Linked DNA regions of Arabidopsis thaliana. The protein of the gene in region 1 binds, or shares a complex with, the protein of each later gene. Each region holds a gene or a part of one and is shown in the gene's direction. Other genes may lie near its edges.

Region 1 (8,177 bases):
ACGGGGTCAACTCGTGATCAAGAAGACGAGTGGCCTAGGCTAGTGAATTCCATTGCACATAACGGAAGGGTGCTTAGCTTAAGGTCTTCCCTTGTGGAAGAGCCTGCGTCATTATTTGTGGCAGAGGGGGTTTGCGTTCGCGCAGCCCCTACCATTCCCAGTAGTTCAATCTTTTGTTCATGAATACCCATGGCCTAGGCTAGTGGCTTCCTGCACTTGAGGTGCGCTAAGCCTAAGGTTTCCCCAAATGGCCAAGTGGGAGATCCTGCGTCATTATTTGTTGCCTTGGGGGGCTGCGTTCGCGCGGCCCATTCCATCCGCAATAGTTCAATCTTTTTAGCTCTCTGGTAACTGTTATAACATCTGAGGTCTTTCTTTAATTGTTCACGTTTTTGGTGGAGCTATTTTATTGAAGGTTGTTAATTTGACTTTGGAGATGCAATCTTCTAATCAAATCTCCACGTGAGAAGCGAGGATTCTCTCCTCGTCATTATTTATCCTTCCCAATTAGAGTAATCACACTTTTCTGTCACATATGAATTATTAAAATCAGAACTTAAGCGAAATCCTTCGACCACTAAAGAAGAAAATCCCTAACAAATCTCAGAGTTTGTGTTAATTTCTTCTTTCCTTACATCTTTTCCAGAAGAAAAAAAGCTGAAAGATGTGGTTTTTTGGATCGAAAGGAGCATCTGGATTCTCTTCTCGTTCCACAGCAGAGGAAGTCACACATGGTGTTGATGGGACTGGTCTCACTGCCATTGTCACAGGTTTTCTTCTATCAATAGTTTCATGCCCTTTTGCGACTTGGGTTTGTCTAAAGTTGTAGACTTTTCTATAATTATGAATTGATTTCATATGTAGGGTAGAGATTTTTTACTTTTATTGTTTAGACAATTGGAATTTGATGTTTTTATGATCAGGGTCTGTTTTTGGTTCGGTCAACCCTAATAAATATATGGAGGTCATCACCGTTTGTTGTTCTAAAGTTTGTCTTTTTTTTTTGCCAATAAGTAACAAGCTTTTGCTCACAAGAATTGGATTGCTATGTTTGGTGAATTTTAAAGTACAACATGTTTGGGACCATTTGATCTGCAAATAACATGTGCTATTAGAAAGTTACATATATATACATACTTGTCTCTGTTTCAGCTGATTCTAAGTTATGTTATAATCACACACTATACAATTTCTGACCAAAGGAAGAAAAAAAAAAGATTTGCTTGTAGATCTCGTTTCAATACTTTTGTGAAGTGCTGCTTCCTTATTTTGGTTAGATTGAGTATGTAGTTTAGTATGCACATGTTCTGTATCAGCCTATCAGGGTATTGAAAAGGCTAGGAACGAGCTTAATCTATTAGTTGATACAACTTAAGAAAGTGAGATTTCTGAACATGTTGGATCCTCAAGTTTTGTTTTGTTTGTTTTCATGTTTTTTCAGGAGCATCAAGTGGTATAGGTGTAGAAACAGCTCGTGTTCTTGCACTGCGTGGTGTGCATGTGGTTATGGCGGTGAGAAACACTGGCGCCGGTGCTAAAGTTAAGGAAGATATTGTCAAGCAAGTCCCTGGAGCTAAAGTTGATGTCATGGAGTTAGAACTCAGCTCAATGGAATCTGTCAGGAAATTTGCATCTGAGTACAAATCTGCTGGTCTTCCACTCAACCTCTTGATGTAAGCTATTGAAATATCGTGGTTCATCTATAGCCGTTTGGATTTATTGACGTTTATGTTTTGACTTGTCTCAATTTTGTAAGCAACAATGCCGGGATTATGGCATGTCCTTTTATGCTCTCTAAGGACAACATCGAGCTGCAATTCGCAACCAACCATTTAGGTGAGTATGATAACCAAACCAACATTATGGCTTTGTCCTACATTTTATATAATTAGTTTCTAATCAGTGCAACGGTTTTTGTAATCCAAATACATTTCAGGACATTTTCTGCTTACCAAACTTCTGTTAGATACAATGAAGAACACATCACGTGAAAGCAAAAGAGAAGGAAGGATTGTTAACGTATCATCAGAAGCTCATCGTTACTCGTACCCAGAAGGAGTCCGCTTTGATAAGATCAACGACGAGTCAAGGTACTAATGGTGAACCAAATAGTATAATTCTCCGATCCCATCTTTTCTTCTAAAGCCAACATTCTTCCTTGATTTGGTCTCCACATGCAGTTACAGTAGTATACGTGCTTATGGACAATCTAAACTCTGCAATGTATTGCACGCCAACGAGCTTGCAAAGCAACTGAAGGTAAACTACACTAAACAAAGCAAAGATATAGCAAATCAAGAATCTATGTTTCCATGGTTATCTTCAATTCTGGTATATGATTAAAAACAGGAAGATGGAGTCAATATAACAGCAAATTCACTTCATCCAGGAGCCATTATGACAAATCTATGGGGCTACTTCAACTCCTATTTGGCTGGTAACTTCTTTTCTCGGATTCAACTCTCATCACTCCATGTTTCATAAGGTTACACTCAAAGTAAACAAACGCATACATATATTTTGAGTCTCTTCTGATCTCTCTGTCACCGGCTTAATGCAGGAGCTGTTGGTGCAGTGGCTAAATATATGGTCAAGTCTGTTCCGCAGGTATGCATCTAATTTCTGAACCTCACACTAATAACCAATCACTTGCAAACTTGTCACTAGGTTTCTCAGCTTAAGTAGGAGAGAATGATACAGCAGTCTAGCTTTACGGATTGATTTGGTTTTTGTTGGTAATCTGGTTTATAATGTCTGAGTATTCGACTTGGTAGGGGGCGGCAACAACTTGCTATGTGGCATTGAATCCACAGGTTGCAGGAGTTACAGGGGAATACTTCTCAGATAGCAACATTGCTAAACCAATAGAACTTGTCAAAGATACAGAATTGGCGAAGAAGCTTTGGGATTTCAGCACTAAGCTTACTGATTCGCAATGATGATTACCGTTGCAGTAGATAGTTGTTCAGGGAACCTTTACTTTCGATGTCTCTATTGTGACAATACTTATTTCAGTCTTTATTGATACAAAATAAAATGTAAAAAACAAATCTGAAATCATTTCCATTTCAATTCTGCAAAAAGATGGTTTATCCAATTTCAGCCTAAACAAAAGTGTTACTTATCTGTTTTCTCATTGACTCAAAACAGTTGTCTAGTGAACTAACTCGTAGACATAAGTAAGTAAGAAACCAAACAGAAAGAGCTTAAAACATCTTCTGATTTTGGAGTTAACTCATGTTATTGGTGGGAGCTATTTTAAGGACATTTGTTAAATCCTTTAAAAAGAAAGTTGTTAATAAATCCCCATCATTTGACTTTGGAGATGCACTATTCTACACTTCAACCTCAACCTCGTGAGACATGAGGATTAAAGTAAAGTAATCACATTTCTGTCACATATGAACAAATAAAGTTATTTAAATCAGAATAAAAGCGAAATCGCTTGACCACTCAAGAAGAGAAAAACGCTAACAAGTCCCATAGTTTGTGTTTATTGGACTTCTTTCCTCTCATCTTCTCCAGCAGAAACAAAAAAAGCTGAAAGATGTGGTTTTTTGGATCGAAAGGAGCATCTGGATTCTCGTCTCGTTCAACTGCAGAGGAAGTCACACATGGTGTTGATGGGACTGGTCTCACTGCCATAGTCACAGGTTTTCTTCTATCAACACTTTCATGCCATTTTGCGACATGGGGTTGTCTAAAGTTGTAGACTTTTTTTCTTATAATTTCCAGAACTTTTGTCCTCTCTGATTCTGTCTTCGAATTGATTTCATATCTAGTAAAAAGACTTGACTTTTATTGTTTAGACAATTGGAATTTAAGGTTTTTATCATCAGGGTCTGTCTTTGATTCGGTCAACTCTAATAAATATTGAGGTCATCACTGTTTCTTGTTCGAAAGTTGTCTTTTTTTTCAAGAATTTGGATTGAAAATTCCATGTTTGGTGAATTTTAAAGTACAACAAGTTTGGGACCATATGTATAATTGCATGTTAAGGGAAAATAACTCGTCTCTGTTTCAGCTGCTTGTAAGTTGTGTTATATATCACAACTCTATACAATTCCTGGCCAAGGGAAGAAAAAATACAGATTTGCTTGTAGAAATCGTTTCTATATTTTGATCATATTACATTAGGGCCTGAAACAAGAACAATGGAGTCCTTGAATTGATAGAACCCTGTTAGGTGACACTAAAGACTTGCACATACATATTTGAGTGTAGCATCGATTGGGCAAACCCTGAGTCAGCCTAATAGCCTATCAGGGTTTGAAAAGGCTTGGAAGAGCTTAACTGATCATTGGTTGATACAACTTTAAAAAGTAGTCTAGCCTGCATTGAGTTTTCTGGACATGTTTGGTTCCTTAAGTTTTCTTGTCTTTGTGTTCATATTTTCAGGAGCATCAAGTGGTATAGGAGTAGAGACAGCGCGTGTTCTTTCACTGCGTGGTGTGCATGTGGTTATGGCGGTGAGGAACACTGACTCTGGTGCTAAAGTTAAGGAAGATATTGTCAAGCAAGTCCCTGGAGCTAAACTCGATGTCATGGAGTTAGATCTCAGCTCAATGCAATCTGTCAGGAAATTTGCGTCTGAGTACAAATCTACTGGTCTTCCACTCAACCTCTTGATGTAAGCTATTGAATACTGTATATAGCGGTTTTGATTTATTGATGGTTAATGTTTTGAATTGTCTTAATCTTGTAAGCAACAATGCCGGGATTATGGCATGTCCTTTTATGCTCTCTAAGGACAACATCGAGCTGCAATTCGCAACCAATCATTTAGGTGAGTAGGAGAAGTAAACCAACATTATGTGGCTTTGTTCTAAAGTTATATACTTAAGTTAACATCATCATTAGTTTTTAGTCAGTGGCATGGAATTTGTGATCCACTTTATTTCAGGTCATTTTCTGTTGACTAAACTTCTGCTAGATACAATGAAGAGCACATCACGTGAAAGCAAACGAGAAGGAAGAATTGTTAACCTATCATCAGAAGCTCATCGGTTCTCGTATCCAGAAGGAGTTCGTTTTGATAAGATCAATGACAAGTCAAGGTACTAATGGTGAACCAAATAGTAATTCTTCTATCAAAATCTAACATTCTTCCTTGGTTTGGTCTCCGTTGCAGTTACAGTAGTATGCGAGCTTATGGACAATCTAAACTCTGCAATGTGTTGCACGCCAACGAGCTTACAAAGCAACTGAAGGTAACTAGAAAAACAAGAGATCTATCAAATCAAAATCTATGTTTCCATGGTTATATTGATTCAAATCTGGTATGAATAAAATAGGAAGATGGAGTCAATATAACAGCAAATTCGCTTCATCCAGGAGCCATTATGACTAACCTCGGGCGCTACTTCAACCCCTATTTGGCTGGTAACTTCTTTTCTCTTATTCCACTATCATCACCCCATACTTCACAAGGTTACACACAAGTAAACAAACGCATACATATACTTCTTCTGATCCTCTCTGGCATTGGCTTGATGCAGTAGCGGTTGGTGCAGTGGCTAAATATATACTCAAGTCTGTTCCACAGGTATGCTTCTAATTTCGAAGCCTCACACTGGTAACCAATCACTTACAAACTGGTCACAAGGTTTCTCAGATCTTGCTTAAAGGATAAAACTTGGTTTTGTTCCGTTATGTGGTTTATAATGTCTGAGTATACGACTTTGTAGGGAGCGGCAACAACTTGCTATGTGGCATTGAATCCTCAAGTTGCAGGAGTTTCAGGGGAATACTTCCAAGATAGCAACATTGCTAAACCATTACCACTTGTCAAAGATACAGAATTGGCCAAGAAGGTTTGGGATTTCAGCACCAAGCTTACCGATTCACAATCAGGAGAAAGCAGTTCTTGAAAGTAAATGATGTTCAGTGAATCTTTACTAATGGTTTCATGTTTCAACGTCTCTTATCTCTACTGTGACAATACTTATTTCAGTCTTTATCAAAGGAAATAAAAACGTATAACAAATCTGCAATAAGATGGTTTATTCTGACCGGTTTAGTTCTAAACCTTCACCAAACACTTATCAGAAGAAAATGTAAAAAAGCTTTGTAATCAAGTATCAGAAGATTTTAAAGACAACTTTCGAATTCAAAAAGAAGAAGAAGCCACGAGGAGACAATACTGTCAATGCATTATTAAAGTGATGGTCAGAAATGAAAATAAAAATCAATGATGATAGTTTTCTAGTTTAAACTCACTTTATTAATGGTTTCATTAGGAAGGTTAAGTAATTAATTAATCTTTGTGATTGGAATTTGGATCATAACGTGCAAATTGTCGATATAGAGTGTTATAGATAGGCTCTGTATTTAATTCATTTCATACCCTCTATATATAATTGTCGGTCGTTAGATGGCATTTGTTTTTATATTTATTTGATTTGGACCAAACAATGCTATTAATGATATGCATTGTATAAATTTCAAACTATAACGAGAGCAAATTTCAATGTAGGTTTAGGACTATATATGTTGATATTTAACAAAAAAGAAAAATTCATCTTAGGGTGATAAGATTGATCACTAAAGATTATTGAAATGTGGCCAAGTACTAGAGTACTACTATTTGTGACTATTTTACAATTGTTCACAATCATATCTATTGTACGTACAAACTATTTGCAGAAAAATCACATGCTCCAATATGAGATATTGTGTGTATGGATGTGGATACCTCAAATTAACTCGTAAAAATGTATGGACCTAATATAGTATATAATACGATACTAAAGATTTTTGTTCATTTTACTGTTGTTGATAGACTTACACTATGATGAGCAACAAAGGACTGAAATTTCAACAACAACAAATGATTTTTGAAATTGTCAAAATTAGTTGTCATCATCAGCAACAACAAAACTAATCAAATATGTTTGTAACATTCTATTTGAGAAAATTTATATAACTATATTGAAAAGAACATATATCACACAATCGTATATGAATGGTTGGGGGATGGACTAATAAAGAGTATGGTAATGTTTCTCAAACTCTCTGAGAAGCCACCAAACCACTTATAAAGAGATCTAAGTTCACACCTTTGTGTTTACTTTATCTAACTAATCCGTGGTACTACAAAGTAATTAAATTGTGGTAACATTGAATTACATATTCATTTTTATTCTATCATTACCAAAAAGTCAATCATGTTGTAGTACATGTACAGATTGGACGCTTTCTTTGTATTTTTCTGCTGTGTACACATTCAACTTTAATAATTGCTCTTCTCCGTAATGTGGTAAAATTCGATTTCATGCATATATTCAGGATTTCAACAACAGAAAAAGTTTTCAAAAATAACCAAAACATGTGGCCAAGTGATCTTTGTTATCACTATGACTAAAATCCATATAATCCTTACAATTATCATTCACATATATTTAAGCTTCATAATTGACTCATCTTTCAATCATTGACAAAATTTGCTTTGTCAAACAAAAGCTAAATCATAAGGAAATAGTGTCTACATGAAACTAAATCAAAATTATTCCTTCTATTCAATTCCTAATTCATAAGGATGGGCCTCACAATTGGACTTTAATTCTCTAAATTAGACCATTTTTCTGCTAAAAGAGCAAATGTGATCTCTTGAAAAGGTGTTGGAGAGGCGATAATTCGGAGCCGTGGATGAAACGTGTGAAAAGGGAGTGATGAGGCCATCAGGACCGTACGTTGATATCACGTGAGGACACGTGGGGGATTGAGTGAGCATGTACAAACAAAACTGTCTTTTGGACTGACTTTGGAAGCAACCAAGGAAACATCGAACATCATTCGGTGTACCATAAAAACAATGCATATCATTGAGCTGTTTGTTACCCCCAAAAAACATATGGTGTCAAACACAAGACTATTGTCTTATCAATGACTATTATTGATTTGAATCTTAATTTATATCCATCTTAAGCTTATCAAGATTCGAGTTAGGGTGGTGGACATTAGTTAATTATCAAATTTTATAAATCCTAACTAAGGGTAGATTTCGGTGTATAAAACCAGGTCAAATTATTCGTTTTATAGTTTTTCTATATATAGTGATGAAAATAATTGTATATATATCTTCCACAATACTTTAAAAATGTACAAAAGTTCATATATCTTCCTTACATTGTTACATGCATGGCTATATCCTACACTTGATTTAGTGGAGTTTATTT
Region 2 (6,355 bases), on another chromosome or scaffold:
CAACTTCACTATCTTAATCAAGTCAACTTCAAGATAGACCAAATTGATCTTGAGAGATTAAAACCGGGTTTTGGATTGTGTTTATGTTGTAACAGGAGAGTTTAGAAGGAGGCATGACAGTGTTCTGTCCAGGAGATGATGCAATGAAAGGTTTCTTGCCCAAATACAAGAACTTGACAGCTCCAAAGAAAGAAGCATTTCTCGATTTCCTCGCTGTCCCGACATATTACTCAATGGCGATGCTCAAATCCAACAATGGTCCGATGAACACACTTGCGACAGATGGAGCTAACAAGTTTGAGCTTACTGTACAGAACGATGGAGAGAAGGTTACCCTCAAGACAAGGATCAACACTGTCAAGATCGTTGATACTCTTATTGATGAGCAGCCTTTAGCTATATATGCGACTGATAAGGTTTTGTTGCCTAAAGAGTTGTTTAAGGCTTCGGCTGTTGAAGCTCCGGCTCCTGCTCCGGCACCAGAGGATGGTGATGTTGCGGATTCTCCAAAAGCGGCTAAAGGGAAAGCGAAAGGAAAGAAGAAGAAGGCTGCACCGTCGCCAGATAATGATCCTTTTGGTGACTCGGATTCGCCTGCCGAAGGGCCTGACGGAGAGGCCGATGATGCGACGGCAGATGATGCTGGTGCGGTTAGGATCATCGGAGGAGCTAAGGCTGGTTTGGTGGTGAGCTTGCTCTGCTTGTTTGCTTCTTCTTGGCTTCTATAGTTTCACTTCGTTTCTTCTATTCTTCCATGTTTTTTTTTTTGTGAATCTTTTATTTATGGTTTTTGGGGGAAAGTAAATGAGGATTATTTATTTCCCTCTATTGTTGAGTTTTTTTTATTTATTTAAAAGTTGGTTGTCGAATTAAATAGTCGGTAGTTTATATATTTGTGTGTTCTTGTTTCACGTGTTTGTTTAGTTGATGATGTAAACAAGTCCTGATTTTGGTGATCTTGTCATATTTTTCTTGTTTTTGTATTTGTCTAACTGATTTTCACATAATGAGTCCAAAAACTAATTCAGATCATCACAAATCAGAAATTTGAAAGGTAACGAAATTTACATTGAATCAAAGGAAAAAAAAGCCTTTAATGTGTTATATACAAAATACAAATAAAAAAGTAGCTAGCTACGAAATTAGGTCTTGAGCCACATTACTAGCCACTTGATGATTGGTCTCTTGAGTACGCTATTTATACATATTGGGATGAGCTCAATCCCAATATGATTGGGAAAGTTAGAATAAAAGAAACTAACAATATACGAATAATTCCTAATCTTATGTTAACACTCACTAAAAAAAATGGGAGTATATATAAAATTATTAATGATGAGTGTCAATCTTAGTTTTATCCGATGGAAAAAGGTTGTTAAGTAATTTTAATGTATTTATAAATAAAAAAACTGACGAAACTTTGTGACTCGTAAAAGAAATTTTTTGGTAAAGAAATTGACAATGAACAATTGTTGTTTGGGTCTATGATCATCATCACATTCAGTACAAATCCTATTTACGATAACAATAACCACAACAAGTAGAAGAGCAAAAAAGAAAAAGAAGGACAAACACTAGATTTGGTCACAAGCTTATGTTTGTGTTTTTAACAAGCTTGGTCAATTTCGCAACTAAGAACACCTACTGATGGATGTGTGGTCTTGAGAAGTGAAGCTGGTCGAGCTACCATACTCGAAAATTTCGCGTAGCTCGGAGAATCCTCTTTCCCTGACGGTGTAAAGAAAGCTCCGTTAACCATTTCGTCTCCTTCTGATTTCCAGTTCCATTCCTTCCATTCTTCGTCTCCATCTGCACTCTCTCGCTTTGTAACCTGCGTATAGGGCATGTGAGTTTAGAAGTATGGAGCAAACATTTCCGTCTAGAATCTAATCCATATAGTAAGACACATGAAAATCAAATTTCTAAATGATTAGTCGACTATGAATTAGATTGTACTAATTGTGAGGTTAAAACGCTCTTAGTTTTGTGGAGCACATGTCACGAACGTACCTCCTTGGTGAACTGATTATTGGAAGCTATGAAAACATTTCCTTGGCTAAAGATCGTTGGATTAGCACTTCCACCAATAGCATACATCTTCCAGTCTCTATAAATGTTATTCACTATGTGAAAATATCCATGCCTACACCTACACATTGGTATTTTAAGCACGAATATTTTGGTTAGCTTATAAATTTGACATTAAAAAAAGAAGAAAAAGAAATATAAGATTGTACTAACCTTGGCATTCTTTGGACAAGTCCTTCACCAAAATAGTTAAACGCGATCGTAACTCGCATATCCCGATCACCGGAATACTCATCACTATGGCCCAAAAGCATGACTTCATTATGATTCAACATGTAACTATTCGAAATCGTTATATCCGTGGATCCATTCACCGCATCAATAAGCCCATCGTAACATTTCTCTAACGTACAATGATCAATCCAAATATCTCGAGACTCGAATATCGATATTCCATCTCCATCCGAGTATCCTCCCAACGACGATAAAGCATTCCGTTTCACGGGAACACAATCGTGAATATAAAGATTGTTTATAATAATGTTACTAACTTTATATAAAGTTAAACACGGTCCATAAGCTATTTGTACGTTATTTCCTCTACCATCAATGGTTTTGTATGAAGCTACTTGAAGATCTTGTTTTAGTTGTATTACCATGTCTCGATCAAAAATGATCCATAGAGGTTGATCTTGTGTCGCAGCGTACCGTAATGTACCTGGAGTTGGATTTAGAGGATTGTCGTCTCCTGAATCAGTCACCGTGTAGAACTCCCCGGCTCTACCGCCAATTGAGTCGCGTCCGAATCCAACCGCGCAATCCGCGAGGTTTTTGCGGTTGTCCTTCCAGTTTTCGTCGCATCTCCAACACTCATCGATTGGATTTCCATTGGCTGAGCAAGAAGACGCTGTTGAATTTGATGTCACTGTCGTTGATAGTCTCCTTACTATTGGCGGTTTAGGAATCGCAAATGCAAACGCAAAAGAAGTGTTTAAGAGAAACAAGAAAAACGTACATACAATTGACATTATATGTTGTCTTAAAAAGAGATTAAAACCAACTAACAATTTCACTATGAACATTATGTTTATAATTTGCTCCAATATATATATGCAAGAGACATTGAAGTGCACTAAAAAATAAATACGGAGGTAATTAAATTAGGTGAAAATTGAAAGAATTGGGTCCAATACAAAGGCATTACGCCGTTTTATACCGGTGGATTTTGATATTTAAATATACACAAAAAACAAAGACAATAACAGAGGCTATTTAATTGTTACCTTACTTCAAATAACTACGTACCGTTTTATCATATTAGAAAGATAAGAAGACGACACAATGTTTTAAGCTAAACTTTTAAAACAGAGTGGAGTTTAGTTTATTATCCTCTCATCATGTGTTAAGCAGTCTTTCAGTTTTGTGTGAAGTGAAACAAAAACAGAGCAAAATGGCAATAATATCTCAGTTTTTTGCTCCATTACCATCTCTCACCGGAACCCTAACCCTAACCGGTCGTTCTTTTCTCCCTCTAAACCTTGATACCCAATTCCCAAAACCTAGACTTTCCAGGGACAGAGCCGCCACACTCGTACTCCAATCCAAGGGTGATGATTCCGTCGATGCATCGGATCGGATAATCTCAGCCGTCTGTTACTTCTACCCATTCTTCGATGGGATTCAATACGGCAAATTCATCATCACACAGTACCAACCTTTTCAGATTCTCATCCAACCTTTGTTTCCCGCCATCAGAGCTTTCAAGAGCTTCCCTTTCAATGGGTTTCTTATCTTCATCACTCTCTACTTCGTCGTTGTGAGGAACCCTAATTTCAGCAGGTACGTCAGGTTCAACACGATGCAGGCGATTGTGCTTGATGTGTTGTTGATTTTCCCGGATTTGCTTGAGAGGAGCTTTAATCCTAGAGATGGGTTTGGTTTAGATGTGGTGATGAGTTTGGACAGCACAGTGTTCCTCTTCTTGCTTGTCTCTTTGATCTATGGATTCTCTGCTTGCTTGTTTGGTCTGACCCCGAGGTTGCCTCTTGTTGCCGAGGCTGCTGATAGGCAAGTCCTTTGATTCAATAATATCTTTGTATGTAACACATTTGCTGTGATTAAACCTTCTGTATTGGATCGCTTTCTGATAATCAAAACATACAATGTAACTTTTTGATCCAATGAAAAAGGTTTCTGCAAGACTTTTGCAATAGAGATAGAACAAAATGAAGAATAGAAACAGAGAGAGATTTTATCATATAACAATTTTTGATTTGATTAGTTCTCCTCATCACATATCTGAAAAAGCAATATGGTGAGGAAAGATCGATTCTGTAACAAAAGACAAACACACCAATGGGTGGTGAGTGTGTTTACATATCTGCACTCATCTGTCTAATGAAAGGGACAAAGTTGTTCCAGTTCTCGACCCTAAAGATCTTCTCATTCATTCTGCAAAACGTAAATGATCTTAGAGTGTCGCCATTCGGTTGCACACAGTTCTCTCGTATTTGCCTTAGTCCCATCTGTTGCAGAATTCATATAGAAAATGGTTAATAACCACCACTTTGACCTCAGACGTATAAGACTAAAGCATGTGCAAATAACTCACCTCATCAAATCTTTCGCTTGTGTTTCTACCAGTCACATGTATTGTCCACTTCTTCGAAACATCATGTATCTAGCAAAAGAAAATGTGATAATGCTGATTTGTTCATGTTCTTATAAGGCATGCTTAATTGTCTAATGTAGCAGCGCAGTAAGAACACAGAGACTAGACTAGTTTGAAGTGTCTCTACGGAAGTAAATAGTGCTTCAACAGTGACCGGTCTAAATACAAGTAACATACATACTTCATATGAACATAATTGAATTCTGGATCAAGGGTTTACGAAAGAAAGTACCTGTCTACGTAATCCTTCAGGGCTGCAAAGATATTTCTCAGGTATTTCACTATCTGCCATATCCAAGCAGCTGAAAAGATATGATAGATTCTCTCGTTAGTGAAACTGGACCATGCAGCTTCTGAGAATTATGTACATAGTAAAAGAAAACTTCAGAAAAAGGCTCTCACGGGATGTTGAGAGCAGCACCATGACGAGACAAGACGGAAGCTACAGGATCATAACCATCCCTGAGGGAGGTGTTGTAATAACCTGCAGTTAGTTCAGCGGGGTGTGAAGATGTCTTATACCACCAATAGATTCCACCAATTTTTGCAACCAGCATTACAGAGCTTTTCTCTTCTTCCTGACGTCTCCGCAAGACATCGGCTGCCTTTGCAAGAATAGCATCAGCATGACAAATCAACTTCCCACTGTACCATTCCTACAATGAAAAGCAGTTCACGTTGTTATCTATAATCCAGCCTACTAGCCACTTTTATATCATAACAATATATTATATCAGAATCACCAAAGAGGCTATGATATAGAACATACTAGAAAGAAACGACCATAGTCAGAGAGAAAGCTATCATTGCCCTCCTCAAAGAACGGAACTCCAGATGGAAAGCTATTATAGCAGCCGGTATTCGGAGGATCTCTGCTTCCCCATTGAGGTTTGCCTTCTTGGGATGCCACTGCCATCAAGTCTTCCATCCTAAACCAAGTAGTATAAATCTGTAAGTGTGATTAGTACAGGCAAATACAAATTTTCAATAAATAAGCACTCACATGTACTTGTCATGGCATTGGAATTCACCAATTCCAGGAAATTTCCACCTCCCATCTCCAGAAGGATGTGCAGGATATCTGCAAGAGATAACTGTGTAAGAAACTCCTATTGTAGCTATTGTGGCTTTACCGGTGGTAGTCCACAGAAGATCAGAAGTACCTAAGCTCCCCCGAAGGACCAAGACCTATACTTATTTCTTCAATCACATTCCCAAGATATGGCTCAAATTTTGTTGAAAAACTGAGCATAAAATCTTCATAGCATTGAACAGCAGTACGGCCACCGAACAAAGGAAGTTGATCGACTCCAAGTGTGAGATAGTCATTGTTGGAAAATCCGCTTTTATCTCTATAGTATATGTCCTTATTGACGTCTCCAATCTGGAAATTATAAGGTGAAAAGCAGTTGAGCTAAACTTCGTAACAAAGGAAAGCATTCCCAACGACAACATAATCAAGTTAGCATCTATGATTGTGTAACAGAAATCTATAGTCTCCAAGGTTTCATCAGAAAAAGTTCTCAACCTTAAAAATATTCAAAGGAAGAAGAAAAATCCGCATCAGGCAACCTTCTATCTCTACCGCAAACAAATAACTAAATACCTGTAATTCTAACAATACCAACCTCTCGGATCCAGAGTGGAAGACTGATG
Region 3 (7,901 bases), 3.8 Mb from region 1:
TTTTGCTGTATCCTGGTGTTATTTTTGGTCCAGGCAAGCTCACTTCAGCCAATATGGTTGCTAGAATGGTATGATTCTTCCTTTTGCTGATTAGAGTTGCATTGGTGGGATGATGTAGTGGTACATTGACAGTATGTGGTTGATTATCACATGATGTTGTTCTTCTAGTTGATCGAGCGCTTTAACGGGAGGTTGCCTGGATATATTGGCTCTGGGACGGATAGATACTCCTTCAGCCATGTTGATGATGTTGTGGAGGGTCATGTTGCTGCAATGGAAAAAGGTAGGCTTGGTGAAAGATACTTACTCACTGGGGAAAATGCTTCTTTCAAGCTTGTCTTTGACATGGCTGCACTGATTACTGGAACCAAAAAGCCAAACTTTAGCATTCCATTATGGGCCATCAACGCATACGGATGGTTATCTGTTTTAATCTCTCGGGTTACAGGAAAGCTTCCACTTATCAGTCCTCCGGTGAGTTTCAATTGCATTCATTAGTTGCCCACATATTATAGATTATCTTATTAGGTATAGAATAATCTCAACTCTTAGTATTTTGTGATGAACAGACAGTGACAGTGCTGAGACATCAGTGGTCATACTCTTGTGATAAGGCTAAGCTGGAACTTGGTTATAACCCTCGAAGCCTAAAGGAAGGATTGGAGGAGATGCTCCCTTGGTTGAAGAGTCTGGGCGTCATTCACTACTGAAATTCAAATTTCCCATCTTTCAGGTATTTCGAAGAATAATATTCCCTTGAATTCAGTCACTATGATGAGTGATGACTACATTTTTACTTCTCCCGTTACACTTTTAACCCAATCGATTTTTATCTTGTTACAAAACTGCTTCGTTTTGATCGTGTATGTCAAATAAATGTGAAACATTGTGTGCAAATGCTGATGATCATATTTTAAGATGTTGAGCTACGTGTGAGAGTAGGAAAGAGGGAATATGTAAATGTGGGAAATAATCACATTTTATCTGCCAAGAACTATATGATTACATCTATAACATATATGATCAGAAGATAAATACTAAGTATCCATATAATTTGTTCATGATGGTTTTGATCTTTTAGGATATCCACTTTATTGTAGCTGCATGGCCGTTGGTAGTCAATCTTCTTTTCAGTTTATGCTGTTCAGTGTTCACAAAACAAATTAAATAGGTCAATTAGAGGATTATGTAGTTAGAAGCTCTCACAACTACACATGTTTCGGCAATATTAAAAAGAAACTGCAGTAGCTACCTGTTACAGTCCACAGTCTTAGAGAAAGGGACTCCTATATTAACACCACATTTAGCAGGGAGTTGTTTGGCAAAATCATCATTAATTCCAGGGATTGTATTAGCTACACTCTTCAAGCAATTACAAGCTACTTGTCTATCGGCTTTCTCAGGCGCTGCGGCTTTTAGACTATTAAGTCCGTTGCAGCACATTGGAGACGGATTTCCTCCAGCTTTTAGATAAGGCAAACATTGTGCTAAGTACATGTTTACCTGCGGACATGCTATGGCTTCTCCATGATACGCAATCCCCAATAAAATCGTAATCACAAGTAGTAACATTTTTCGGGTTGTAGTAGTAATGTTCCTCATATTTTTCAGTTAACGAGAGTTTTAACAATTTTGTTTTCTTTAGTGTGTTGTTTGCTTGATCTAGTAAGTATTTTATAAGGAGGAGAAATTTGGAGGAAAAAAATGTCATCGACATGAATTTTGAGTGACAAAAGCTTTTTGTAAGTCATGTCATGTGTTTAGAATGGTGTGGAAGTTGAGTTTAGAAAGTTAATAAATGCTTTGTCACCAAACTTTTGATCAAGGGCCATATTAAACGTAAACTAAAACCAATCAAGTCCAATAAAGCCCAAATAAAAAAGCCCAAACGAATTGCTCTGAAGCCTTTTTCTTCACTCTCTTCATAGTATCAAAAATTGCTTCTTCTTCTTCTACTTCTTTCTTCTCTCTGCAAATCCAAAAATGGAGTCATCAGTGAAACCCAATCCTTTCCTCTCCTTCTCTTCTTTCATTCACCACCAGTGTACCCGCTTCAGCTCCGACCTCTCCGCCCGAATCGAAGACACGAAACGATTCGCCGAAACCCTAGCTACTCGACGTTTCTCTCTTCCTACTCCGCCGCCTTTCGCCTCCGTCTCACAATCCAAGTCTGGAACCCCGACGACGACGTTGAGTCCATCTCTTGTCGCTAAAGCTCTCGCTGGGACGTCGGTGTTTACAGTCAGTAACACCAATAACGAATTCGTTCTTATCTCGGATCCTACCGGAGGCAAGTCTATCGGTTTGCTCTGTTTTCGACAAGAGGATGCTGAAGCTTTTCTTGCTCAGGTTTCGCTTTTTGTTGTATTTTTCTCCTCCGAACTTTTTTAAAAAAATGTGAAGTTTCTGAGCTCATAATTCTCTAATATACTCCTTTAGGCGCGACTTCGGAGAAGAGAATTGAAAACCAATGCGAAGGTTGTTCCCATTACTCTGGACCAGGTAGTTCCCTTTCCTTATGATCACTGCATTAGATCAATGTGGAAGAAGCCATTGGTTAAATCAAATGAAACAAACAAATTTCAGGAGCTCAAATTCTAAGTAGACTTGTTCATGTCTGGCCTCATTTTAGTTGTTTATATTATACGGTAATAGGAACACCTGTTGGCAGTTTGAATGAACGGGAGATTGTGTTCTTGTGCACGTAGCAATGTTGACAACATCGTCACAAGAAAGAATGCAACGATGGCATGATTATAATCCCTCTAATGGCTTGGAACTTATAAGTTATAACTACGTTTAGGGAACTTTTTGATGTTATTTGCGTAATCGTGGTAGCTACATTCCCAGAAGTTAAGATGATGTTGTTTACAGGTGTACTTGCTAAAAGTTGAAGGGATTTCCTTTCGCTTCTTGCCAGATCCAATCCAAATAAAGAATGCGTTAGAGGTTGGCTCATGCTAAACAGACTTTTAATTATATGTGTCTATAGCATTTATTTGGCATTTCAATCTTATCCATAAGCTATATTTTCTTGCGTCTCAGCTCAAATCCTCAGGAAATAAGAATGGGTTTGATGGAGTTCCGGTTTTTCAGGTAAATTGATATACTCATTTTCTGTGTTTTTCTATTATACCAATATGGATTCCTTATGTTTTGGTGTTTTTGCTTTGTTTTCTCTTGATATCTATCTGTTGTTATTGGCCTCTACAGTCTGAGCTTCTTGTTGTGAGGAAAAAAAATAGACGTTACTGCCCTGTATATTTCAGTAAGGTTGGTTAGTTTCTTCTCCCACGTTAAAGAATACTAATAGATCTCTCATAAGCCAAAACAGAGGAAGATAACTCTTACTTTCCTGTTCTGCGTGACCACTTTCAGGAAGATATAGAGAGGGAACTTTCTAAATATACGAGAGCATCAAGAGGAGATCAACAAATTATGGTAATGATTCATACCTACCTTCTATGTATTTGAATCTTCGATAGGCCACGTAAGATAGAAACAAACACCTTGATCTAAAGACATGGTTTACTAACAAGTGGGAGTAGCTAGTAGCTGTGTTGGCATCATATGTAATTTCTAGCATTTTTTGTGATTACATGTTCTGCAAACATATAACACCATGTTTTCAAAGGAACAGCGAGGGAAAGGGAAAAGTCTTAGAAAACTTTAGAAAGAGCGGAATTCAGATTGTACATGCCTTCATATATCTGAGTTAAAATGAATTCCAAGGTTTATCGTTATCAAAGTTGCATATCAGAGATCAATATATAAAGTAATTTCACAGCATTGGTTTTGTTAAGAGTTTTCTTATCTTCACCATGGAACTAATCTTTTTGTTTTGCAGGTTGGGAGTCTGGAAGATGTGTTGAGGAAAATGGAGGTACTCACGCTTCTTCTTTGTTTAAAGAAACCTTAAAGTATGAAAACCTGGTAGTCTAATAAAAATCTGAATTGAATCAATGTAGATGAGCGAGAAGAATTCAGGTTGGGAAGATGTAATATTCATTCCACCGGGAAGAAGTTATGCACAACACATGCAGGATTTGATCAAAGAGTAAAACCATAATAGACACAATGTGTGTATTTTTACTTGATAAAAAAAAAACAGCCTCTTTTGAGATTTTGCAATATTATCAATTGCCCAAAGAGCTCAACACAGTCCCAAAATTTAGTTTTCTCCTCTCCTTTTACCACTTAAACACATCATCAACATGTTACTCGTGGTTCTTACATCCAGAAAAATATATTTGGCATATACGGATACCTAAATCAAATAACATAATCTTGTTTGTTTTAAAAAGTGGAGATGTACGTTATTCATCTGTCATTAGAATGTAGTATCAGCCTAATTATTCAAAGGAGGTTGAGGCCTCTAAAATGATATGTTGGTTTAAGCTAATTATTGATCAAATTTGGTTGATATACGATTATTAAAACTAAGATGTCTTACCAATACTTATTTTCATTTTCTTTTCCTCTCATCATAATCGCTTTGACATCTCAGCTTAATGATAATGTGATTATTTTCATCCTTACTAATTGTTACTGCCTTAAAAAAAACAAGTTGAAGTAAGAAAAAGAAAAGGAGATGAGATTGTTTCAAAAGCATTGATCCTTTCCTGAAGCGTAAGTAAGCGATGTTGACAGCAGAACTAAACTTGTTGCTTGCTTGACTTCCTCCGTCGTCGCATATTGCACCTACTAACATTTTTTCTCTTCTTTATTCTTCCAACCAATTGTAGCCTATGGTCTTTTGTACCAATTTTTCAAAAGTTGTAGTTGGTAGAGGTTTTGTGAACAAATCTGTAACATAATTTATTTTCTAACATAGATTGCATCGTTTTCTGATAAAGATCATCAAATTGTGGAAATATGTAGTTTTTTTTTAGTTTTTTTTTTTTGGGCGGAAATATGTAGTTTATTATCCTACTTTTGATGACATTTTCCTTTATTCAATTGAGCTGTAACTACTACTTTATTTTATTTTTGTATTGTGTTAAGTTGTTGTATAGTCTTTATCGGAGATTACATGTTCTCCGAACTTATGTAACAGCAAGCATTCACAATTTGTCTCATTATTTACCAAGATTTGTGAATAGATAAAGTGGTAACAAAAGTCAATGTCCTGGAGCACCATTAATAGTAGAACCTTCAAATGACGGTAGATAACTTTTAATGAAATCCCTTTTGGGTTTTGCATTGGATGAGATAAAGTGATATATGTAGTAAATAAAAAGGATCCCTTACAATATTGTAATTTTGGTCCCATGTTTGGAGGTGAGAGCAAATACGTATCTTAAGGCATACGTATCGCAAACTCATGTCATTATCCAACCACAATCGTTGGCGACATATCTTTGTTTAATAATAATACATCAGGCTTGTGTTTGAGTAAAGAAAATCCTTTGACACGTCCAATGTAAACTCTTTTAGACGTTTTTTTTGTCCTACTCAAAAAAACTCAACCTCTACTTAAAGTACTAATTACCATGTTTTTGTTTTTTTCTCTACCCTTCACGTGGTTCGCATACAAAGAATATTCCTACACATATTTCTCGTGAAACCTTTAAACATTTTGATTTAGGAGTGTATATATATAAGATGAAAGATAAATGTTTGTCATTCAGAAACGAGATGACGATAATGACGATGATAATGAAGATGGCTCCTTCCAAATCTGCACTGATACGCTTTAATCTAGTCTTGTTGGGTTTCTCTTTTCTTCTCTACACTGCCATTTTCTTCCACCCTTCTTCATCAGTCTATTTCAGCAGCGGAGCTTCCTTTGTTGGATGCTCTTTTCGTGATTGCACTCCCAAGGTAAGGTGAGTTTACATTTTTGTTTGCAGAGTAAATCTTATATCAAAACTTAGACTAATAGATATCTTTATACTGCTATGTGATCAGGTGGTGAGAGGAGTGAAGATGCAAGAACTCGTTGAAGAGAACGAAATAAACAAGAAAGATTTGCTAACCGCTAGTAACCAGACAAAGCTGGAGGCGCCAAGCTTCATGGAAGAGATTTTAACAAGAGGGTTAGGAAAAACAAAGATAGGGATGGTGAACATGGAAGAATGTGATCTTACTAATTGGAAACGTTATGGCGAAACGGTTCACATACATTTTGAGCGTGTCTCGAAGCTCTTCAAATGGCAAGACTTGTTCCCCGAGTGGATAGATGAAGAGGAAGAAACCGAGGTTCCCACATGTCCTGAGATACCTATGCCCGATTTCGAAAGCTTAGAGAAGTTGGATTTGGTAGTAGTGAAGTTGCCTTGTAATTACCCTGAAGAAGGGTGGAGAAGAGAGGTTTTGAGGTTGCAAGTGAACCTAGTTGCGGCTAACTTGGCAGCCAAGAAAGGGAAGACGGATTGGAGATGGAAAAGCAAAGTGTTGTTTTGGAGCAAATGTCAACCGATGATTGAGATTTTCCGGTGTGATGATTTGGAGAAGAGAGAGGCAGATTGGTGGCTGTATCGCCCTGAGGTGGTTAGGTTACAACAGAGACTCAGTTTGCCAGTCGGATCTTGCAATCTTGCTCTTCCTTTGTGGGCACCACAAGGTAAAATTACTTTCATGCAAATTAATCTTCTTGCTAAATATTTTTAGTTTTAGCAAAAGTAACTAAATTAATTATGATGAAACCAAAAATCTTTTTTTTTTGTTTTTAATATACTTAGAGTACCATTAGCAAATTATTTTGACCACTCTTTTGTTTTTGAATTTGGTTACTTTTTCCAAGTAATTAAACTAAACAAACAGAAAATATATGTTGAACTGAACTTGAAATCGAAACCGTGTTTTGTGGCGCAAACGTAAAAAGGTGTATAGTCGGAAATGTGTCAGATGAACTATGAAGTGACTAAGACATTGTAACATAAAAGGACCTGCTTAAGTGAAATTGATGTGAAAGATACCAACTGTATGGTGTAATATAAAACAACTCGATATGTTTCTATACTTTGCTTATAATTGATTGATGTGTGTTAATTAGTTAGATATGTTAGTGGTTGTGTTTTAGGTATGTCGTTTTGCTAACCACCAAATATGAATTGTCATACAAGCTACCTTACACTTTTTAAGGAGATATTAAACCCTTAATTTCTTTCCAAAATAGCATTCGTATTGGTAGATCGAGTTAGTTAGCTAAATAGCTTGTGGTTTAAGAAAACGAATGATCATCGAATAAGGTTAATAATGATAGCTTTTTTTTTTACGGCAGGTTAATAATGATAGCTTATATGCTAATATATTAGAAAAACATTCAACTCTCTATGTATTTGTTTGTCAATTAATTAAGATTACTAAATATGAATATTATAAATACGATAATTCAAATTCTAATCACAAAAATGCAATTTTTGCTGGTTTAAGAAAATGCAATGGATGAAGTAGTTTTTGATAACCTATCCATGCATATATAGCAATAACTAAAATTTGATAATAATCGTTGAAGAAGTTTTTTCAATGGCCTTACTAAATGAATTAATGAGTTTTTTTATCCAAAAACAAAAAGCAGGTGTAGACAAAGTGTATGACCTAACGAAGATAGAAGCAGAGACAAAACGACCAAAACGTGAAGCCTACGTAACTGTTCTTCACTCTTCCGAGTCTTATGTCTGTGGTGCCATAACTTTGGCTCAAAGCCTCCTTCAGACAAACACCAAACGCGATCTTATCCTTCTCCACGATGACTCCATCTCCATTACCAAACTTCGAGCTCTCGCCGCCGCAGGATGGAAGCTTCGTCGGATCATTCGAATCAGAAACCCACTTGCGGAGAAGGACTCGTACAATGAATACAACTACAGCAAGTTTCGACTCTGGCAATTGACAGATTACGACAAAGTGATCTTCATTGATGCCGACATCATCGTCTTACGTAACCTTGATCTTCT
Region 4 (9,354 bases), on another chromosome or scaffold:
GGATCAACCTTTACTTGAGTAGACTGTATTTCATTCTCATTCAAAGGTAGAGGATTCCTTTGGACTCTTTTCACTCTTTTTCTTGGATTTTTGTTGCTGCTGGATACCTCAGGTAGACTGGCTTCAGGTGACAAATCAAAGGACCGTTCAGGAGATATTGGAATATCACTCTCTTGAATTCCACCAAGCTGACTTCCAGATTCTGAACATATACTAAAATTTCTACAGAGGACAGAATCAATTTTCTCTAGAAAGCCGCTGAATTGGACTCCAGAAGACGAAGCTATCCCATTTTCGCATGAAATCTCCGCTTTTATTTTATAAAGTTCAGTTTCATCGCAATCTTCAGTATTATCCTGTACTTGTAAGCAAACACCTAGTTAGCCCAAATAGATTCCAAACAAAAAAAATTCAAAACCCAAGGGAACTTGTCACTTTGATTACCTCTACGTTAGATTCAGGCAACCTTATAGCAACCCTGCAACAACAACAAGAATGGTGTATAAGAGCCGTGAAACACTAAATGAACGCAGGCGACAAAAAAAAGTGGAAAACCATCCACCGAGCTTGTGACATTATAAGTTAAAAAATAAAACACCTTTCAAGAAGCATTTTGCGCCGCTCCTTCAGTGTGAGATGTTCAAGATCATCACTCCTTTCAGTTTCTCCGACTCTATTAAAATTCTCTACAGCATTACTACAACATCCTAGAATGTTGTTCTGTGGTCTTATGTTTCCAGAATCTTTAAGACCTTGACTACAACCAATGTTCATAGATTCCAATATTTCCGTGCTTACAGATTCAGTAGCATCACAATTTGACACTACACCCTGGACACTAGATACTCAGTTCTCTAAACTTACATAAGTGAAATTGAATTTAACAAAAACAAAGACTTCGTTACCAGCTCATTGAAGCAATCTTCTTCTTCTCTTTTCAAGACACTATCAACATTCGATCTAAGAAACAAATGAAAACATATGTGAAAACAAAAACGAAAAGTGAAATTGAAGAAAACGTAAACCAATGACAGTACTCACGCAGGAACATAAGCAGCGATACGTTGAGAGACTCTTTCACTCGATAGCAATAAACTCCGCCGTGACGTCAAGGGGAGATGGTCTTCCTCAAGGAATGTAAAATCAGACTCCGATGAAGAGATGTTGGTAGGTTCATGGCACATCTTATACATTTGAATTAGAGTAATACAGAGGAAAAGTACATGGAGACTGAAGAAAATTGCTATAATCGAGATTTCTCCAAATTTGCTAATTGCGTATAGAGCTACAAAAGCGAATTAGATAATAAGAGAGAAGGGTTTGTTAAGAAGGTAAGGAGAATGAAGAAAGGAATCTCCTTTGGACATGAACACAAGGAGAAGAATCTCAGATTGTCGAAACCCTGGTAATAAACATGAAGAAGCTTTTGTGTCACTCACTTTTATGAACAATAAAAAAGTTGTTTTTAGCCAAATTGAAACATAACCAGTGAAACGGAGACCTTACCTCAGCATATTCGATGAAACACTGAAATTGAGACGCTCTTACTGATTAACAAGTTAAGAAAGAAATCGTTTTTTTTTTTTGTGTGTGTTTATCATCGAAACAGAGGGGAAACAGGAGGGAGCGAAGAGAAAGGTTATTTTATTTGGGCTAATGGGCCAATAAAAATAGAACCTAAAGGCCCATAGATGTAAACCCTAAGCTATAAATAAAAGACTTCGTCTTTGATTTCGCCGCAAGATATTATCTTCACGAAAAGATCCGATTTTTTTGTTCTGATTTTCTGTTAAAATCTGAATTTTTCGCTACGAAATCTTAGGTTAAGAATAGCATATAAGGAACAGATTTGTGATAGGAGTCTTTAAGCTTAGCACTCATGTATAGCTTAAAAGAAATCTTATGTTCCGATGCTAAATCAAACATCTTCATTGATGGTTTGGAGTCTCTGGACATGTAGCATTCTGGGAATTTTTTTTCCCGTGGATTCTAGCATTTTCTCGAGATTCGACATCTTCCTATGTTTTTAATTCTGATCTTATGTTTGGATATTTTAGATCTTCGAATTTCTATGATAAAGTGTTAACCTTTTCTCAAATAAAGGTTTTGTGAAAATTTGCTTTTTGATGCTGCTCTATGATGATTCTTTTTGCTTTAACCACACTGAAAAGATGGGGTTGAGAATGTGATTTTGCTCTTCTTGATTCAAACCAGAGAAAGATTAGATTTGATCTCGGAGTTTCTTGATGACACTTTGATCTAAGTTGCTTGAAGGGGATTCTTTTTCTCCTTTGTGGTTTAGATTAAGGTAGAGAGTAATGTCGAGCTCTTATCAACATTTTTCATGGTTTGAGGCTTGAAGAACATTCACGTTTTTCAAGCTCACTCATGTGGACAACCTTGGCCCTTGTCTGAGAAGCAGCTTTTTCTCATATTCAGTTTTTCTAAATTTGTTGTTTTAAAAAAAAAAATTGGTTTGTTTTTTTGGCTGTTCTATGATGATTATATTGCTTTAACCACACTGAAAAGATGGGCTTGAGAATGTGATGTGGTTCTTCTTGATTTAATCCAAAGAAAGAGTTCTTGAGCTATATGTATTGCTTGATGACACTTTGATCTAAAATACTTGAAGGGGATTTGTTTCCCTTTGTGTTTTAGATCAAGGAAGAGATCAGTGTAGAGCTCTTGTTCGATATTTTTCTTAGTTTAAATCTTGAAGAACATTATCATTTTCTCAAGCACTCATATGTGGAATCATTGTGCCCTTTGTCTGAGAAGCAGCTATGAATTCTGTTTTTGTCTTCGATATTGTTAAACGTAGCTGATTTGTAAGATTACTTTGTGATCTTTTTTGGATGCTTGATATGTATCCAACCAAGAGTGGGTTTCTTCTTACAAAGATATTGAGTTAGGAATTTTAATGTCATTTTATGTTCGAATTGGGGAAAATTCACAAAAAATTGGGAAAATAGAAGAGAGCATTATTCGATGTTTACCACATGGTGGAATAATTTGACAGAACAATGTACTTTGGGAATGACATATGGAACAAACTGTGTAAACCAATTTGATGATGAAGGTGAACGAGTTACATATAGGAGACTTACACTTCCATAATAATATTCAGAAACTATATGAAAGTGTATCTTTCTTTATTACTAAAACTCTTTTCTAATAAGAAATGTGTAAACTATGTAACTCGGCAACGGTTCCAGACTCTCTAATCCTAAATCAATGTTAAAGGCGTAAGGCTCTTGAACCTGTTCATTGTGAGCTTTGAACTAAGTATTCAATTTTTTGGACAATCCGAAAAACACAACAGTATAACTACAAATGGATTAGTCCCATTTGGGCGTAGTCTCATTCGTTTGGACGAGAAACACAACGAAAAACCTAGCCAATTTTGTTGTTCTCATGTATGGGCTTAATTGGGGACTAATCCATCTGTGGTTCCCCTTGTTTCCATAGTTCGTAATTTTATTCGTTTTTCGTCTTAAGTTTTCCCTTCTTTAGGTTTAGTTTCCGGAGATATTTTTGTTTTCCGCCGGCTTTGTGTTTCAAATTTGTATTCCACCCTTTGTATTTCACAACCTATAATACAATGGAAAAATTCTGGATGAAAAAAAGAAAAAGAACACAGTATATAGAAAAATCTGAATCACAGTACTAACATCATTGATTTTCTGCTACAAAAATGAGTGTACACTGATTCTTAAAATAGATACGGGCTATAACATAACAAAAAGAAAAAGTGGGGGATGGCTTTTGCAATAATCTCGAAAGAGTTTCTCACTCACATCACACCCTTGGTTTATAAATAAAACTCATTGATCTTGACGGTGAAAATATCGCCACCTGTTAATTTGTAAAAAGGTTTCAGTACACTTAGCTACACTGGATCCAAGTCTAGTGCTAAACTCAAACCTCGTGGTTTTAGACCAAAATCTCTTCTTCTTCGTTTCCTTCTTCCTCATCATATCTTTCATCTTCTCCACCAGAATTTGTTTTAGGCTCTCCTTCTTCTGTTTCTTTTTCTCCCAAAGAAACAATTAGATATGGAGAACCTTACCCTAGTTTCTTGCTCAGCTTCTTCTCCAAAGCTGTTAATTGGATGCAATTTCACTTCCTCGCTGAAAAACCCTACTGGGTTTTCTCGTCGGACTCCTAATATTGTCCTCCGGTGTTCCAAAATATCTGCCTCTGCTCAATCTCAATCTCCCTCTTCGCGTCCGGAGAACACTGGAGAAATCGGTTAGTTTGCAAATTCCACTCGACACTCTATTATAGCAAATGCCAAAATTTTCCGGAAAAATTTCCAGTTTATTACTTTTATCTATCTTATTGAAACTCAAATTGCGAACCCTTTTCGACTGGTTTAATATGAGCTTATGAATTGCTATATCTCTTAAAAAAATCCACACTTTGTGAATTTGCAATTTGAATTCTTGTAGAAACCATTCATTGTTAGAATTGTTTACTTTAAGTTTATGTTCGATTTGCAGTGGTTGTGAAACAGAGAAGCAAAGCTTTTGCAAGTATATTTTCTTCGAGTCGTGATCAACAGACAACTTCTGTTGCTTCCCCTAGTGTGCCTGTGCCACCACCATCTTCATCAACCATGTAATTTTCCTGGTTTTGGACAATGTGCTTAGTTTGTATGTCGTTTGATTCTTGGTTATTAAATTGTGTTTTTTCTTTTTTCTTGTAGAGGATCACCACTTTTCTGGATTGGTGTTGGTGTTGGTCTATCAGCTTTGTTCTCATATGTGAGTATCAAGATTCCTTCCTAATTTTTTTTTCCTCTATAAATATTCTTTCTTGCTTCAATATTGATTAATAAGTGCTTGACCTTTTTTCTTTTCTGATGGCATTGCAGGTAACTTCAAATTTAAAGGTACAGATACTTGGCCCTCTGGTTTTACGGGACTTTTGTTCTCTAGTCTGTTGCAGAACCACGATTTTATGCTTCATGTCAACTCTAGTGTATTGTGCTCATGTATCTGAGATAGTTTTATTCACTAAACTGGTTATCTTAACAAGGTGAACTGTTTGCTCACACTTGTTGAACCGTTTATATAAGCATCGAACTTTTGCCTCTCTTTTTTTGGGTAGTCACTTGATTCGTAGATGGTAACCTACATACCATTATGGTTTTAGTGATGCAACTCAGGTATTCAGACTTATAGTCATTTTCGCAACTCCAGTATTTGATTGAAATATATTATACAAGTTGTCATTGCTTTCTCTCATTATTCTCTAACCGGCTGTTACTCTCTTTGGATTTTTTTTTTTGCTTTGGTTTAGAAATATGCAATGCAAACAGCTATGAAGACGATGATGAACCAAATGAATACGCAAAATAGCCAGTTTAATAATTCTGGATTCCCATCAGGATCACCTTTTCCGTTTCCATTTCCTCCTCAAACAAGTCCTGCTTCCTCGCCATTCCAATCTCAATCCCAGTCTTCAGGTGCTACCGTTGATGTGACAGCGACAAAAGTAGAGACACCTCCTTCAACTAAACCGAAACCTACACCTGCAAAGGATATAGAGGTGGATAAGCCAAGTGTTGTCTTAGAGGCAAGCAAAGAGAAGAAAGAAGAAAAGAACTATGGTAGATTCTTTTTCTGTTTCAGAAATCAACGTCTTTTCATTTGTATTCTCAATTTTGACTTTCTTCCTTTCTCATTTTCCAAGCTTCTAACTTGGAAGCTGATTTACTTTTGGATGCAGCCTTTGAAGACATTTCACCCGAGGAAACCACAAAAGAAAGCCCATTTAGCAACTATGCAGAAGTCTCTGAAACTAATTCCCCCAAAGAAACTCGCTTGTTTGAGGATGTAAGTTTCGTTTTCTTTTGTATTTCCACAGCACACCAAGTGGTGATTTAAAAACGTGACATAGTTTTGCTAACCTTCTATGCTCTCTTATTGATCTCTGGGTGAAGGTCTTGCAAAATGGAGCTGGTCCGGCAAATGGTGCCACTGCTTCAGAGGTTTTTCAATCTTTGGGTGAGTTATTGAATTTCAGTTTTCATCACTATCAGCGCACTGTGCATGATTCATGATTAAGGCTACGGATTTCAATTTTATTTTATAGCATATGCCAACAATTATAAACAAAGGAAGATATGAAATTGGTGATAAAGAGGAATGAGTTGGCTTCAAAAGGATCTACTCCGTTACTTTTGTCCTTCTGCTAGTCGTTGATCTGTATTGGTATAACCATATAAGACTTGCAGGATATTACCTTGGCAATCTGTTTCATATCTCATGTGTTATGATTCTTTTTTCTTATATGCTCACGTTATTGTCTCTCTTTTCCTTATTCTAAATTTAAAACTGAATCCTGAGTCTGTCTATTGTTTACACAGGTGGTGGGAAAGGAGGGCCGGGTTTATCTGTAGAAGCTTTAGAGAAAATGATGGAAGATCCAACAGTCCAGAAGATGGTTTACCCGTAACTCATCTTCCCTAGCACATTGTCTTTAAATGCATCCATTAAGTTTATCTTTAAAACTGGTTGCTTAGTGGACATTTGGTAACATTGCATGTATAAATGCAGATACTTGCCTGAGGAGATGAGGAACCCAGAAACTTTCAAATGTAAGTCTTTTAATATTTAATCCTGCTATCATTCTTTTATTAGTCCTCATTTTTACATATTTCTAAAGACTAAAGGTTACATGACTAGCTTTTGAATGATGTAATTCGTTTATAGGTTGATCCAATGGTTATCTAAATTTAAAATACAGTTTGGTACTTATTGTCTCCGCTTGGAATTTTGTAGGGATGCTTAAAAATCCTCAGTACCGTCAACAACTACAGGACATGTTGTAAGAGCTCCATTTTACGAACAATTTAGTTGTTTCCATTGCTTTTAAGAATGTCTAAACTATGTAATTAAGAAATACTCTTGTTTGTTTCTTTTCATGAATTTAGGAATAATATGAGTGGGAGTGGTGAATGGGACAAGCGAATGACAGATACATTGAAGAATTTTGACCTGAATAGTCCTGAAGTGAAGCAACAATTCAGTAAGACAAATCTCAGTTTGTACCAAGTTAATAGTACGTTAAATAGGTCTGATACTCAATGATTGAATCTGTATTTGTCAGATCAAATAGGACTAACTCCAGAAGAAGTCATATCTAAGATCATGGAGAACCCTGATGTTGCCATGGCATTCCAGAATCCTAGAGTCCAAGCAGCGTTAATGGAAGTACGTTTTCTTTTAACCTGAATAAGAGAATTGCTTAATTTTACCCCACTTCTTTCTTCATACAAAACAGAAACCAATTACATTCTTGTTGTTGTTGCAGTGCTCAGAGAACCCAATGAACATCATGAAGTACCAAAACGACAAAGAGGTAATAATACTGCCACTTCTCCATTGCCCAAAAAGGCGATTACTTTTTTAAGAAATTTGAGGTTATTATACATTGATTGCAGGTAATGGATGTGTTCAACAAGATATCGCAGCTCTTCCCAGGAATGACGGGTTGAAAAAGCTCACGTCTTTGGTTCTATCAAAAATGTCACATTGTCTTTAGCTTTTTGTAGGGAGAAAAAAATGTTTTTTTTTTTGCAAAGAGTCTTCAGTTTTGGTCAGATCAGAGAATTGTGTACCATGTTAATCTTAAACGCGGTCGGGAATTGGAGTCGTGTGAAAACGCCGCTGCTGTTGTTTGGTATGAATATTATACAATAGAATTTGTTGTCTTACCAAAAAAAGTCTATGAAGACACTGAAGAGCAAATTATTATTTTTAAGGGAAAATTTCCAAAATAAACTTCATGTATTCAAAATTTGCTTGAAAAAACCTCAATTTTTTTTGTTTGAGATTGTGTGAATAAATCTGCCAATATTTTGTTTTAGCAATTTAAAAAATTGAAGTTTTTTTCTCGCAAATTTTAAATAGTTGTGATTTATTTTGGAATTTTACCTTATTTTTAATATCCAAAAGGAGAAGTGACGTGGCGATATCGAAGCGGTTTAATGAAGTGATGGCCCCATCTTAAAGAAATCAATGACCCTTATCGTTCCACTTCTATCGGAGTCGGAGTTTTTTTTTGTTGTTGTTGTATTCCGTACGTCGGTCGTTGTCGGGAGAATTGGCGCGTGAAATCCTTGGCTCCGTCGAATACGTCTGCCTCCGACGGCTGTGAGTCGCATGATTGAGTCGTGGGTAAGTATCCTTGTGACTTCAAATTTGTATTTCCGTTCTTTATAATCCCCTGACTCTTGAGAAAATCGAGGAGAAAAAACCATCCTTGCTTGGTATTCATTTGAAGAGTGTTTTAGTTATAAAATCGTAATGTTTGACGGTATGTGATATTCTGTGAGCATGATTATTCAGAAAGCTTTTGTCTTTTTAGTAAATATTGTCTCTTTCTTAGTCTTAGGTAATGTAACCTCAAGAACTCTATGCGAGAACATTACACATTATCTTTGGAATTGGATATTATATTGTTAAAGTTTAATCATTGATGAAAGTTGCAAAGAGTTATGATGACTCCGTTTTGGGATTGTCTTACCGTTGTCTTTCTGGTTTTAATGCTTAGGTTTCTCTTGATGAAGTCTAGAAGTGAAAGTAAGAATTGTAGGCTTGCACAAGCCTCTAGAGTAGCAGTCAACAAAGTTCTAGACAAAAGCAGCGCCCGTGGCTCTCGAGGCAAGAAGAAGCAAGATGATAACTGTGATTCCGCTAAGGTTTGTTCTTCTATTCATGCAAACAACATTATTGTTATAATGATTTCACTATGTTTACCAGGGTACTTAAGATGTTAGAAGCAACGAATTCTATTGATTGTTTTCAAGGTTTCCTTGAAGATTGTGAAGTCCGTGGTACTACTAACCAATTATCAATGGCTGTTAAAAATAGTTTCCTTGTCCTATGCCTAAAGATTTTCTTGGGACAGTGGAGATTTTTGTCTTATCTAGTCCTATGTTGTCCGGGAGTGTAAAATTATTTAATACTCTTCTATCATTGCAGCGGGATAAAGGCGTAAACGGTAAGGGAAAGCAAGCGCTCGACGCAAGATTGATTGATAACGTTCTAGAGGACAGGGGATGTGGTAATGTTGATGATGATGAAATGAATGATTCAGACTGGGAAGACTGTCCAATCCCTAGTCTTGATAGTACGGTTGATGATAATAATGTTGATGACACCAGAGAGCTAACCATAGAATTTGATGATGATGTTCCTGATGCTAAGAAGCAGAAGAATGCATACCGTGCAACAGCAGAAGACAAGGTATACTGTGCTTAGGAAACACAATATGCTTACTTTTGTTTATTCTTTAAAATGTGGTTGCTTTAGAGATTTGTGCTTTGTCTCAAAGGTACGGGCG

Evidence for each region.
Region 2: Tic32-IVa (region 1) and Tic20-V share a complex: the UniProt entries of both Arabidopsis thaliana proteins name them as parts of the tic complex.
Region 3: Tic32-IVa (region 1) and Tic22-IV share a complex: the UniProt entries of both Arabidopsis thaliana proteins name them as parts of the tic complex.
Region 4: Tic32-IVa (region 1) and TIC40 share a complex: the UniProt entries of both Arabidopsis thaliana proteins name them as parts of the tic complex.

Annotation. Positions count from the first base shown.
Region 1 is NC_003075.7:12,225,624-12,233,800, forward strand, and holds Tic32-IVa (NAD(P)-binding Rossmann-fold superfamily protein), read left to right. Parts: upstream 1-3,279; 5' UTR 3,280-3,547; coding exon 3,548-3,653; intron 3,654-4,398; coding exon 4,399-4,630; intron 4,631-4,706; coding exon 4,707-4,786; intron 4,787-4,903; coding exon 4,904-5,057; intron 5,058-5,131; coding exon 5,132-5,210; intron 5,211-5,294; coding exon 5,295-5,382; intron 5,383-5,498; coding exon 5,499-5,545; intron 5,546-5,687; coding exon 5,688-5,870; 3' UTR 5,871-6,095; downstream 6,096-8,177. Other genes in the region: AT4G23420 (NAD(P)-binding Rossmann-fold superfamily protein), read left to right, coding at 437-462, 562-608, 687-770, 1,442-1,673, 1,757-1,836, 1,937-2,090, 2,181-2,259, 2,350-2,437 and 2 more. UniProt on the Arabidopsis thaliana protein: Involved in protein precursor import into chloroplasts. Part of the redox regulon consisting of TIC32, TIC 55 and TIC62.
Region 2 is NC_003076.8:22,552,748-22,559,102, reverse strand, and holds Tic20-V (TIC 20-v-like protein), read left to right. Parts: upstream 1-3,452; 5' UTR 3,453-3,478; coding exon 3,479-4,108; 3' UTR 4,109-4,225; downstream 4,226-6,355. Other genes in the region: FLA1 (FASCICLIN-like arabinogalactan 1), read left to right, coding at 96-728; AT5G55720 (Pectin lyase-like superfamily protein), read right to left, coding at 1,607-1,831, 2,011-2,149, 2,242-3,056; BAM4 (beta-amylase 4), read right to left, coding at 4,401-4,553, 4,640-4,708, 4,932-5,001, 5,102-5,355, 5,469-5,628, 5,703-5,780, 5,863-6,083, 6,328-6,355. UniProt on the Arabidopsis thaliana protein: May be involved in protein precursor import into chloroplasts. Not redundant with TIC20-I, TIC20-II or TIC20-IV.
Region 3 is NC_003075.7:16,060,798-16,068,698, reverse strand, and holds Tic22-IV (Tic22-like family protein), read left to right. Parts: upstream 1-1,801; 5' UTR 1,802-1,983; coding exon 1,984-2,349; intron 2,350-2,439; coding exon 2,440-2,502; intron 2,503-2,874; coding exon 2,875-2,949; intron 2,950-3,045; coding exon 3,046-3,096; intron 3,097-3,213; coding exon 3,214-3,273; intron 3,274-3,378; coding exon 3,379-3,441; intron 3,442-3,847; coding exon 3,848-3,883; intron 3,884-3,968; coding exon 3,969-4,061; 3' UTR 4,062-4,262; downstream 4,263-7,901. Other genes in the region: FLDH (NAD(P)-binding Rossmann-fold superfamily protein), read left to right, coding at 1-68, 169-474, 570-710; AT4G33355 (Bifunctional inhibitor/lipid-transfer protein/seed storage 2S albumin superfamily protein), read right to left, coding at 1,131-1,140, 1,253-1,602; PGSIP3 (plant glycogenin-like starch initiation protein 3), read left to right, coding at 5,638-5,823, 5,911-6,565, 7,523-7,901. UniProt on the Arabidopsis thaliana protein: Involved in protein precursor import into chloroplasts. Imported into the intermembrane space via the Toc translocon. May be involved in the import pathway used by proteins without a cleavable N-terminal pre-sequence.
Region 4 is NC_003076.8:5,446,753-5,456,106, forward strand, and holds TIC40 (hydroxyproline-rich glycoprotein family protein), read left to right. Parts: upstream 1-3,867; 5' UTR 3,868-4,055; coding exon 4,056-4,251; intron 4,252-4,502; coding exon 4,503-4,620; intron 4,621-4,708; coding exon 4,709-4,766; intron 4,767-4,876; coding exon 4,877-4,894; intron 4,895-5,304; coding exon 5,305-5,614; intron 5,615-5,733; coding exon 5,734-5,840; intron 5,841-5,947; coding exon 5,948-6,011; intron 6,012-6,373; coding exon 6,374-6,458; intron 6,459-6,563; coding exon 6,564-6,604; intron 6,605-6,788; coding exon 6,789-6,834; intron 6,835-6,940; coding exon 6,941-7,035; intron 7,036-7,116; coding exon 7,117-7,220; intron 7,221-7,320; coding exon 7,321-7,368; intron 7,369-7,450; coding exon 7,451-7,504; 3' UTR 7,505-7,825; downstream 7,826-9,354. Other genes in the region: AT5G16610 (uncharacterized protein), read right to left, coding at 1-356, 445-478, 599-831, 906-960, 1,042-1,193; DNA repair protein Rad4 family, read left to right, coding at 8,573-8,710, 8,994-9,257, 9,346-9,354. UniProt on the Arabidopsis thaliana protein: Involved in protein precursor import into chloroplasts. Part of the motor complex consisting of a co-chaperone (TIC40) and a chaperone (HSP93) associated with the import channel (TIC110).